3 linked regions of the Neurospora crassa OR74A genome follow. The protein of the gene in region 2 purifies or fractionates together with the protein of the main gene of each other region. This does not show direct contact. Links are inferred from orthologs where the notes say so. Each region holds a gene or a part of one and is shown on either strand. Other genes may lie near its edges. The genes, in order: NCU08707, NCU01779 and NCU04280.

Evidence for each region.
Region 1: the proteins of NCU01779 (region 2) and NCU08707 purify together in Saccharomyces cerevisiae (affinity purification with mass spectrometry; 3 studies listed by BioGRID, with this or other methods). This does not show direct contact. The link is inferred for Neurospora crassa OR74A from reciprocal best matches to the Saccharomyces cerevisiae genes NFU1 and ISA1.
Region 3: the proteins of NCU01779 (region 2) and NCU04280 purify together in Saccharomyces cerevisiae (affinity purification with mass spectrometry; 3 studies listed by BioGRID, with this or other methods). This does not show direct contact. The link is inferred for Neurospora crassa OR74A from reciprocal best matches to the Saccharomyces cerevisiae genes NFU1 and ACO2.

What each region holds. Positions count from the first base shown.
Region 1 is NC_026502.1:3,750,504-3,754,283, forward strand, and holds NCU08707 (iron sulfur assembly protein), read right to left. Parts: upstream 2,567-3,780; 5' UTR 2,130-2,566; coding exon 1,223-2,129; intron 1,138-1,222; coding exon 1,100-1,137; 3' UTR 521-1,099; downstream 1-520. Other genes in the region: NCU08706 (AAA family ATPase), read right to left, coding at 1-170; NCU08708 (hypothetical protein), read right to left, coding at 3,238-3,780. UniProt on the Saccharomyces cerevisiae protein: Involved in the assembly of mitochondrial and cytoplasmic iron-sulfur proteins. Probably involved in the binding of an intermediate of Fe/S cluster assembly.
Region 2 is NC_026502.1:2,466,697-2,470,602, reverse strand, and holds NCU01779 (HIRA-interacting protein 5), read right to left. Parts: upstream 2,551-3,906; 5' UTR 2,438-2,550; coding exon 1,613-2,437; intron 1,520-1,612; coding exon 1,364-1,519; 3' UTR 557-1,363; downstream 1-556. Other genes in the region: NCU01780 (hypothetical protein), read left to right, coding at 3,356-3,795, 3,861-3,906. UniProt on the Saccharomyces cerevisiae protein: Involved in iron homeostasis within the mitochondrion where it is involved in the assembly of iron-sulfur proteins.
Region 3 is NC_026505.1:5,481,528-5,485,797, forward strand, and holds the start of NCU04280 (aconitate hydratase), read right to left. Parts: upstream 2,842-4,270; 5' UTR 2,682-2,841; coding exon 2,637-2,681; intron 2,549-2,636; coding exon 1,692-2,548; intron 1,627-1,691; coding exon 99-1,626; 3' UTR 1-98. Other genes in the region: NCU04281 (WD-repeat protein pop3), read right to left, coding at 3,542-3,958, 4,033-4,270. UniProt on the Saccharomyces cerevisiae protein: Catalyzes the reversible dehydration of (R)-homocitrate to cis-homoaconitate, a step in the alpha-aminoadipate pathway for lysine biosynthesis.

The sequences.
Region 1 (3,780 bases), about 1.3 Mb from region 2:
GGTAGGTTTCCGTTCTGGGTACTCTGTTGTCCACTACTTTGTGGTTCAGCTTGGGCGGTGGCGCTGTCGGCGGCTGTCTCGAGGAATGACTGGCAGCCGGAATCAATGTGGCTGTTGATTTTGTCGAGGCCCTTGACGGCCTGGTTACATATCGGACAAGTGACCGCCATGGCGTCGCATGTGTCAGTGGGTAGGATGAAAGCAAGACTGAAGCAAAATCTGGTCTTCTCAATGTGTCTGAACGGTGGAATTTCAAAAGATGACCCGAGGAATAGCAAAAATGGGTTGTCGAATGGCGAAATTGGGGGTGACGGGAGACGCGTTTGGAGGGCGTAAATTGATTTTCGAACGCGTTAACAGCTGTTGTCCCCCTGCCGCTGCAGTGTTGGTGGGTGGGGAACTGTGTTGCGGCGGGGATACATAAAGCATGTGGGGTAGCTCCCGCTGGACCGTTGGCAAATTGACAGGTGCCCGCATTTGAGCCGCACGAACAGAAGTCAGAAGTCATGATTAATCAGCCATCAAAAACCACAGCATGCGTCATTAGAGGGCATCGCAGGAAAAGGTACACAGTAGAATGCATGTAATCATGACAGCCAAAATATGGGATGAACCATTTATGCGTGCCAGATATCAAGTATGATGATAAGCCTCTCCATTGCTCTCCCTTGTATAAATGGTGGTGCAACAGGGAAAAGAGAGAAAAATTATACAGCAACACTACCGATAAGTAAAGAGGCCCTTGATAGAGCCGTCCATATCTGAGTTTACCAGAATGGAAAAAAAATAAGTAACAAGAACAATAAAGGGAATAATGCTCTCTACCCAAACGCCAGTACCCATGCTTTCGCCGAAAGAAAACCCCCCCAAGCGCGCGAGCGCTAACAAATGACGCAAAAAGACTCTGAAAGCTCCATACATAACTCTTCGGTCCTTCGTTCTCGATGCGCCAAGGGAGCCACTGAAGTGAAGACCGTCCCGTAGCTCTCTCTAAAGTCGTGTCGTGTCACGCATGACTGTCCGGCTGAAAGGCGCTTCGGCTTCCACGCCCGGCCCACCCCTAGCTTAACCGAGATTTAATATCATTCATGTCCTTTATTCATACCATGAATGACTCTCCACAACCGCATTGCTCCTCTGTTTTCCCTTTCATTAGCCACCATCCCATCCCAATTCCTTTCCGCAGCATCGAGGGAGAAAAGAGGGGGGGGTAAAAACTCACTAATATTAGGATTCCTGAAAACAAACCGCTGACTCAACTTATCCTCCACCCAGTCCATTTCACTGCCAATGATGCTGAAGAGCGCCTTGCTGTCAATCAAGACCTTGACGCCGTCTTGCTCCACCGTCTCGTCAAATGCCCCGGCCTTGTCCACGTACTCCAGGTGGTACGCCAGCCCGCTGCACCCCCGGTTGCGCACGCCGACTTTGATCAGCTTCGGCTCCGGCTGGTCCAGCATGGCGCGCAGGTGCTCGACAGCCGCGGACGTGAGGTTGATGGCGGCCTTGCGAGGGGCGCGCAGGCGGGAGGCGCGGGGGGCGGGCTTGGAGGGCGTTGGTTGCGTGGGGGCGGAGGAGGCTTGTGCTGCGGCGGCGGCGGCCTTGGATTGTTCTTGCTTGGGAGCAACGGGGGTGGGCTGAGAGGGGCTTGATGATGTAGATGGTGACGTTTGCGCAAAGTTGTTTAGTTGTTGCTGCTGCTGCTGCTGCTGCTTCGGTGGCGACGCAATCTTGTGAGGTCTTGTCTCGTGTACGCGCGGCATGGGCGGCTGGACGGGGAAAGCCATGGAGTCATTTCCGGAGCGCGGCGGCGATGGCGGGTGCGAGGGAAGAGTGTAGGACTGGAAAGCGGTGACGGCGGGTGAGGGCGTCGTGCTGAATTGGTGGCGCTGGGCGTGAGCGACGGTGCGGTTGCTGTTGCAGAGGGCGGACGAGAGCGTCCTCCTCGAAAGAATCCTTTGCGCGTTCATCTTGAGTAGAAGTGGTCTTGTTGTTGTTGTTGTGCTTGTTGTGTGATGTACAATCGCAGACGGGAAAGCCGGCGATAGTATGGCGGCGGTGGAAGTGATATGATGTACGGCGGCGGAAGATGAAGAAGAAGAAAGGGGAATTGCAGAGGTCAGGATCATAGGGCTGTGACAAGGCCAGACTTTTGGTGGTTAGGTAGGTTGTGTGTTGGGAAACAGCCGGGGCAATTCGGCTTTGTTCTTCCTCTGATGATGGTTCAGTTGTGCTTGGCGGGAATTCGACAGTTGGGTGCGGGCCAAGTTCAACTGAAGTCAAGTCAGCCGAGCAAGCAAACTGAGCCGGTACGTATGACACGGTGATGGGATGGCAATCTTGGCCCTCGGAGCCGCCCGGTAACCGAGTTGGCCAATCAGCATTCGCCCATTAGGAATCCCGCTGACAATCTGACTGTCTTGAACGATCCACATGTTTCGTAAGCCACGGAGGGTCCACTTATTATATGGGCTCCATCCATTCACACCCATCGGATTTGCCGTATCGACTTCTGGAACTCGCATCTCTCAGGCCACTCGCCCGTTCCCTCCTGCAGTGTCATTCCAGGTCTTCCATTTTGCCCCAGACAGAAGGACCCTGATGGGCACACGTCCCCCGGAAGTCCAGCTGTCAGGGGAGGCATGGAAGGGATGGAAGCGGAAAGGGGGAGGAGGGCAACAAATGCGCCTTATCTGGTTGGTCGCCCTATCAACTTCCAGCCCTGGAATCAAGGGGGGATTGCTTCGAACCCCCTTGTTCGGAATGGACCCCTTTGTTTACTTTTCGTCTTGATTCGGTCAAGTCAGGGGCACGACAAGGACAGCTGGGTCCATCGTGCTCAGGGGCAATGACATCACTCCTCTCTACCCTATAGTGTACTACATACACGTAGGTCGGTGTGTCCCCTCCACAAAGTTGAAATCTGGGGACAGCTCCCTGGAGAAGAAGACAAGTCTCCATCACGATGGTAGTACCATACCATGTCCCACTCGCATCAGGCACAAGAGTACCTGCTATGTTCTCGTCCGTTCAGTCCAGTCCATCTGATATTGGCCGATTGGATATTTGGGCTTCAAGCCATTAAGTAGGTAGTGTACATCATCCTCAAACACAATCTATCCCATACATCGCTAACAGAACAAAACAAAACTAAACAAAACAAACGCCTTTTTCCATCTCAGTCTCATTAGTGTAAAAAACCAAACCATTTCCCTACCACTACCACATCCACATCATTCACTCCCCACCCACCAACGCCCTCACATCCCCCACCGCCTCCCTCGCCATCTTCTTCAACAACCCCCTCTCATCCGCCTCCCTAAACCTCTCCCAGCTATCCAGTCCCTCCTTAGCCTGAATGCTCAACGTCTCGTATCCCTGCTTAATCACCTCGGCAACCTGCACGCTCGTCAACTTTTCCTTACTACTACTAGCCCCTGAAGCCAACATATCCTTGTAGTGCGCCGACACATTCACCAACGTATCGATGCTATTACTCTGTCTCTTCTTCAGCCCGTACACATCCCTGAACTTGACCAGCACATCGCCCATCTCAACAATCTTGTAAAACAGATCGTCGTAGGCTGCCGATGTCGGCAGGAACGATTCGCCTGACGAGAGACCGAGGGCCAGGGTGTTGACTACCAGATCCAGAAGCGTGTCGAGTTGGCCTTGTTGTCCACCTAGCAAGGTCTTGAGGTCCGAGGCGTACGTGGTTAGGAAGCGGATCAAGGACAAAAGAGAGCGGAAGAGTTCGTGCCAGTGATACTCGAGGCGGGA
Region 2 (3,906 bases):
ACTCCCGTGTAAGATTTCTTTACGAGAGTCCGAGTTACCCTGAAACACTTTTCGGAAAGTTTCCATCAGAAACAATGGGATGATCTTTGTGGTGAAGACGAAAGCACACAAACAACATAGGCGTGTGCACCAGTATAGACTCATCAACCCTCTACTATCTGACCAGTAAGGCAACAAGCCGGCTGCAGCAACCCGGTGTGCAGGACACCTAGTATCCTAGACAGAACTCGCTGCAGACCGAGAGGCGTTCTGGCGCCTAGCCTAGGCAAGGGAGACATCATTAGACACACACAACGTGAGCAACTAGCGTAAGGAGGTTCCACCAGAAAGAGGTACAGTATCTCGAGAGTACGTACTCCATGCTACGGATTGGTGTTTGGAACATGTTATGGATACCATCAGCAAAGCTGACTCGCTATTGAGCAACTTAGTATGTACGAAGAAGTAGGTAGATGATCCACACACTTCCCCAGACTCTACAAACCGTCGTGCCGTCCGAGGTAGGATCGAACTATGTAAATGTGGAGTCGAGACAACAAAACACTGCTGGAAACTGAGGACTTGCAAGTTGTTAGGTCTAGAAGTGTCTGCTTTTTGAGACATTACTTGCGAGGCTCCCAAGCCTTGTCAAGTCATGAGAGGCGAGTACCAGCTGTTTCACGATATTCCTCCACATATATACTTCACTGCGTACATCCACAAATCCATCCCACCCAGTACACAACCAACATCAACGCCATAACCCCAACTCATACGACACGAGGTATCGGTGGCATTTTGCAGCCGTGTCGGCAATCATCGGCACCTGACCACCCACTACCCTTCGTTCATTCTTGATATGGCATGACACCCTGCATGCAGCGAGATACCTCCAGAACCCTGACCGGTCAACAGGCTGATCCTACCGATCATCGATTGCACCTTTACGCTTAGATCCAGATGGTTGAGGTTGGGGCAGGGAAGCTTCCAATTCTCTCCCATCATATCCCATGCTCCACATACCACCCCGAGTGGCTTGTACGACCTTGCGGGTTCCCTACCCGCATGATTTCGTATCGACTTTGTATTTCACGGAAGGCGATCTGTAATCGGAAAGGGTCAAGGGAACAAACAAGGACACCAAATTCAATCCGCTCAAGTTGACATGGGGAGGTACTATGGTATACTGCTCCTGTCCAGGTTGAATCAAGTATGGTTTATATCCAACGGTGGGTATATCTGAGGGCGAGAGCCGTTTTAAGAGTAGAGGATACGGTACGGTACGGTACGGTACGGACATGGCATAAGAAGCTTATGGTTGAATTCTAGGACGGTTCTTCAATCTAAGAAAGATAGTGAGTGAGGCCCCCCCAAGAGAAACGGATTAGCCAGGGACAGAATCCAAGGAGTCCTTCCCTACGGTGGTGGGAGGGACTTCGCCCTTTTGCTTCCTCAACTTCTCCTCGAATTTCTGAAACTCCTGCAATGCTATGTCTTCTTCGGGGTCAAGTACCTGTTCGACGCCTTGGACTTCCTCAATCTGTGGGTGTTGTTTGGCATGTCAGCAACGTGTTTGTTGAAGCCATGACCAGGCCGGAGAGAAAAGACAGCGGCCAGAGGAAGAAAGACTTACGTAGTGCATCAACATGCCCTCAATTCCGTTCTTCAGCGTCACCGTGCTCGAGTCGCACGTCCGGCATGCTCCGCGCAGCTTGAGCTTGACGATTCCATCCTCGAACCCGCGGAACTCGATATCACCACCGTCCTCCTGGATCGCGGGGCGGATCCTTGTCTCCAGCAGCTCCTTGATCATGCCCACCACCTCGCTGTCGTTCTCGTCGTACGCCAAGCTATCCTTCTCGTCCGACTCTTGCGTCGATTCCTCCCCTTCGTTGCGCTCCACCACGTTGACAATCGTCTGGCCCGACGTGATGGTCTCGGTGATGAGTGCAAACACCTCCGGGCGGATGTGCGCCCAGTTGGCGTCGGCCGACTTGGTCACCGTGATGAAGTCGGTGCCGTAAAAGACTGAGGTGACTCCCTCGATGTTCATGAGCTGCGCGGCCAGCGGCGAAGGGTACGGCGGCGCAATGGTGCTACGCGCGTTCATGTACTCGATGAAGGGCGTCTTGATCGAGTCCGGGATGACCTTTTGGTTGGGCAGGAACTTGAGCGAGTCCGGGTTAGGCGTGTTTTCGGTCTGGATGAAGATGGTACGGCGCTGCTGCTGGGGCGCGAGGGTGGTGTTGAGAGCCCCCCATGACCGTTGCTGAAGACGGGGACGAGCGGCCGAGCGGGCGCCGGTATGCGCTTGTCTGCTGCTGGTGCTGGTGCTGGCGGGAGCAGAAGCGGCAGCACCTTGGCGCAGACACGGGATGGTTGTCGCGGCGGGTCGCACGGTCGACTTGGAAACGAGAGGCACTAGGCCTTTTCGTAATAATAGTCGATTTAGTGGCATCGTCGGTGGTGGGGTGGTGTTGGTGTTTTGTCGGAATGCCGCCGAGAGAAAGAAATACAGCGACTTCGGACGGGAAAGGAAGATGGATGGGAAAAAGAATGACGCCGAAACAGATTCCATCTACTGGTAGAACTACTAGAATACCCGCTATTCCGAAATGTTGCCGCCGTGCCGGGCATGGAATTGTCAGCGGCCGCTAACGCTAACGCGATTAGCGCCGATATGCGTCCACTGCCATGCCGGCTCCAGGGGTCCAGTGTTATGCACCTTCAGCTCTAACTGATCCGTCTTTTTGCGTCATAGCTTCCCCTTTGGGGCAATTGACTGCAATTTTGACGGAGTGGTTTGTCAGCCTCCACGCTGATTGGATCAGAGACTGTGGCGGGACTTTGGTTTTGGAACTGAACGAAGGACCCGTTGTGCAGTTTATTCAGTTTCATCCATAGGTTTTGATGTTTTGCCCAAGTCCCACCATCTTTTTTTTGCAGCACACGGACAACGCATTTCTTTGCTTGGACCGAGGGAGCTGAGTGCCAATCATATTCGACGACTTACATCCTTCGCTTCACGTCCTGGTCGCCCTATCGGCATTTCCCTGGTCGCTTGGCAAAAACTGCGGATCGCGACTTTTGGCGATATTGATACGATTTCCATTTCGAAAATTTCAATTCAACCTCACAAACCGAAACCCTTCACTCAGAGATATCCCAGCCACAAAACTAAAACTGGCCTCCACTCAACGAGTACGGCTTCACTTTTACGGTGTCATCATACAAATATACAGCTTTTCAGCATTCACTCACTGTCACCTCTTACCTTTTGCGCGCCACGCTCCTCACTATCGACATTGACATATTGCCAGGTCTCGGCCCATTGGATTGAGAAAGCCGCGCGTTTCTAAGAGATCATTTGCATGCAATGAGCGCCGAGCCCGTCGAAGATGGTCCGAAAATGGGCTCGGATGAGTCCCAGCGACTGTTCGCCGATGAGTTGAAGGCGCTCATCGCCGGCGCCCGCGATGAGGCCTCAGTCACCCAGGATAATGACCAAGATACTATACAAGTCAACGGACAGCCAAGCTCAAAAGACCAATCAGACATCATAATACAACCTCAGATCGAGCAAGAACCAAAGAAAGAGCCGACTTACGTAATGAGAAAGCCAAACGACCAGCAGCAAGAGGCACAAGCCGCGGAGCCAACAGTGAATCAAGAGCCGGCTTCGCCATCACGAAAACGTCCGAGCCCGGGGGACGAACCAGAATCATCACCAAAACCTGTCAAGAAGGAAGCGAAGCAATGTGGTGTCTGTCAAGCGCAGCCAGGGAAGTACAGGTGTCCGCGCTGCCCGCTTATGTAGTAAGTTTCACAAAACAAACCCTTATCTGCTCAGGCCCAACATGCGTACTCATCATCACAAACAGCTGCTCAGTAGCTTGCAACAAGTCCCACAAGGAAAACCACCCCCCT
Region 3 (4,270 bases), on a different chromosome or scaffold from region 2:
TTTGCGACTCGCTTCGGGATATCATCCACCTCTTTTTCATCTTCCTTTTACTTCCTCTCCCTAGATCCCCTTGCTGCACTAGACCGAATGAGGGCGACTTAGTTACCCTTGGCGAGCAAGTTCAGCGCGCTACCGGCCAGAATAAAGCCAGCCTGGTCCTTGGAAACCGCATGCTTGGTCTTGATCTCCACCACCTTGCCAGTGTCCTTCTTGGTAACCCGGAGGGAAACCTCGCCCTGGCCACCGTTCTTGAGCATCTCGTACAGACCGACAGTAGCCACCTCGTCGCCGGCGTCGATCAGATCGTAATCCTGCTCGTTGGCGAACGTCAGGGGCACGACACCCTGCTTCTTGAGGTTGGTCTCGTGGATTCTGGCAAAGGACTTGGTGACGATGATGCGGGCGCCCAAGTAACGGGGCTGAAGGGCAGCGTGCTCGCGCGCGGAGCCCTCGCCGTAGTTGTGCTCGGCAACGACGAGCCAGGGCTGGTTGCGCTGCTTCCACTGCTTGGCCAGCTCGGGAATGGTGTGCTTGGAGCCATCGAGGTCGTAGGCGACGTTGACCTCGCCCGTGGCGGCGTTGACGGCCGTGTTGAGCGTGTTCTCCGAGATGTTGGGCAGGTGACCCTTGTACTTGAGCCAGGGACCGGCGGCGGAGATGGTGTCGGTTGTGCACTTGCCGGTGACCTTGACGAGCACGCGCAGGCCGGAGAGGTCCGATTCGGGGAAAGGCTCAAAGGGCTCGAGGAGGGCGAGACGCTCAGAGGAGGGCGAGATGGCGACTTCCACGTTCGGGTTGGGGGATCCCGACTGGACTTGGAAGACCTCGCGGCCGGCTTCGAAGGGGGTTTCGGGACCCTCGAGACCCTTGGGCGCAGGGAACTTGAATTCCTTGCCGTCGGGGGTGGTCAGGCTGTCGGTGATGGGGTTGAAGGTGGTGGAACCGGCGTAGGCCATGGCGGTGACGATTTCGGGCGAGGCGAGGAAGTTCATGGTCTCGAGGTTACCGTCGTTGCGACCGCGGAAGTTTCTGTTGTAGGAAGTAAGGATGGCGTTGGGAGTGCCCTTAGGGATGTCATCCTGGCGCTTCCACTGGCCGATGCAGGGACCGCAGGCGTTCGAGAGGACAATACCACCAGCCTTCTCAAAAGTCTGAAGGGTGTTGTCTCTCTCAAGAGTGGCACGAATGCCCTCGGAACCGGGGGTAATGTAGAAGTCGGAAGCGGGCTTGATACCAGCCTGCTCGGCGGCCTTGACAATGCTCTCGCAACGGGTCATGTCCTCATAGGAGCTGTTAGTGCAGCTACCAATCAGACCAGCAGAAAGCTTCTCAGGCCACTTTTGCTCCTGGACAGTCTTCTTGAACTCGGAAAGAGGGATGGAAAGATCGGGAGTGAAGGGACCGTTGATATGGGGCTCGAGCTTGGAAAGGTCGATCTCAATCAACTCATCGTACTGGGCGCCCTCGTCGGCCTTGAACTTGAAGAACGAGTCCTGACCGGTGCCCTTGGTGAAGTTCTCGAAGTTCTTGGCGTCCTTATCGGCCTGCTCGCGGTTGGTGGCCTTGAGGTAGCGGCTGGAAGCCTCGGTAAAGGGGAAGATTGAGGTAGTGGCGCCAATCTCAGCACTGTAGCAACAATGGTCAGTCAATACATTCTAAATGGCGAGGGGGAAAGCTTAGGGAGAACTCACCCCATATTGCAAAGAGTTGAAGAACCAGAACACGACAAAGACTCGATACCAGGGCCGAAGTACTCAACAATGTAGCCAGTACCACCACGGACGGTAAGACGGCCGGTAAGGTGAAGAATAATATCCTTGGCGCTGACCCAGTCGTTGAGCTTGCCAGTCAGGCGAACACCGAGAATCTTGGGGGCCTTGAGCTCCCAAGGGGCACCAACGAGGGCCTCAACAGCATCAGCACCGCCGACACCGATAGTAATGGTAGTCAAACCACCAGCGTTGGGAGAGTGGCTGTCGGTTCCGAGCATCATGAGACCGGGGACGGCGTAGTTCTCGAGGACGGTCTGGTGAATAATACCAGCACCGGGAGGCCAAAAGTCGATACCGTACTTCTTGCCAGCCGACTCGAGGAAGTCGAAAACCTCGTTGTTGGTGGCAATACCGGCCTTCAAGTCCTCATCGGCACCCTTGGATCCAACAATCAAGTGGTCGCAGTGAATACTGGCAGGAATAACGGGCTGGGGGAGGTTGCAAGTCATGAACTGCAGGAGAGCCATCTGGGCAGAGGCATCCTGCATGTTCACACGGTCGGGCTTGAGCTTGAGGTTGGCCTTGCCGCGGACGTCACGGCCGCCGTTGGTGTTGGAGAGGAGCGACTCTTCGACATTGTCGAGGTGGGAGTAGAGGATCTTCTCGGCCAGGGTCAGGCGCTGCGAACCCAGCACGCGGCGGACCTCGGAATACTTGTTGTAGAGGGTCTCATATCTGGGAGGAAGCACGCCGGTGTTGTTGGAGGAGGTGGAAGAAAAGGAGCGGGCCGAAGCGCATGCGACGCGCGAGGGGAGCTGCTTGGCTTGAATTGCCCGCTACGAGAAAGGACGACTTGTTAGCGCTGGTGAGTCACTAAGTAGCCCTTTATTTTGTACAGGGTTGAGCCTCGGGGAAATGGCCTACCTTCAGGGCAGCGCCTGAGCGACTGGCGAGATCAATTGACCTCATGGTGACAGACTGTACAGAAGGGGAACTTGGTTGTTTGGAGAAAGAAAAGAGGAGAGAAAAGTTGCCGGTTACACTATCTTCACTTTGGTCCGAATTACGGAGCCATTCCACTTGTGAGTGCCGCCGCCACCCAAGCAGCAAATCCGGGGATTGCGGTACACTACATACACTGGAAGTACGCTAACTGTCTTTTTGTCCAATAACATCCAGCTATTTTAAGTGAATGCTTTGTCTTTGATTTCAATTCTGAATTCTGAGATGCCCAGGCAAGTCCTCAAAAGTTCCAGATCACTAGTAAAACCCTCCAGGCCGGCAGTACCCTTGAACCAGTGTTGACTTTGAATCTGCCAAGCCGGGGCGTAACACACAGCTGATCCACTTTTCGACTATTCAAGCCAATCATGACTCGTATGTTCCTAATCGATTCTCTCAGTCACGGACTTCGGCCGAGCTTTCATCTTGAATTGTTCTTATATCCGACGGAAATGTGGTCTACTGTTATATAGCAATACTTTTTGCTACCAGGTATCAAGTGTTATGAAACGGCGTGGCGGGCGTACTTGGGAATTCATGTCGTTGTGTGATTTTCCACTCTAAAAACATTACTTGCATAACCATAAAACGCCATTGCCATAGCCGATTCTACTAAACAACCCGCCAGTCGCTCTCAAAAAGGATATCCGGGGAAAATAGCACATATGAAATGCCCCTGCCATGACACTGCACTTTGCAGCTTCGTTTCCTCTTACATCGACAGCCCATCATAGAGACGTAAAAATTGACATCTTTCCGCAGCCGCCCTACACTTCAGCCGTGTTGCAAATTGTCGCCGTCTCCTCATCTTCATCCAAAAGTTCCCACTAGCGAGCTTCGGAATAATCGTTGAGAGCGACGCATACAATACCGCGGTGATGGCCGTTGTACTGTCTGATAACAAGCTGCGTGTGTAATTCCCACAGCCGCGCATAATGATCACTGCAGGCAGTTACCAAGTAGGCACTGTCAGCGCTGAAGGCACAGTCCCATACCCAACGCTGGTGCTCCTTGAGAGTGGCCTCGAGGGGGAACGCCTGCGGTTCCGAATCGGCCGTGGCAGGTTCCATTTCCCTGACTTCCCAGATCCTGGCCGTATGGTCGGCGCTACACGTTGCGAGCTTCTTGACATCGGGCGAGAGTAGGATGCGCGTGATGCTTTCCTTGTGTGCGGAAAAGTGGGTGAGGGGAATCAGCTGGGTGCGGTCATAGGCCTGGATGAGTTGCCAAACGAATACATTGCCCTGGCAGACAGAAAGGAGGTGTCAGTATATCGGGAAGATACAGCAAGGAATGACTCGGTGGAGAGAAAACTTACAGCAGTGTTGGCCGCACAAAGAAGTGTACCGTCACTGGCAACCGTGACACTTGTCACTGAAACATCCTCCTCGGGGATTAGCTGGTGCGAGCAAGTGTTCTCGGCCAGATCCCACAGTCGGATGCTTCCGGCGCGGTCGCAGCTGATGATCTCTCCCTGATTAGGGTGGATGACAACGTCGTTTGCCGGAGAGCCGTGGTTGTAGCTTCGCTGGATGGTTCCGGTGCGGGTTTCCCAA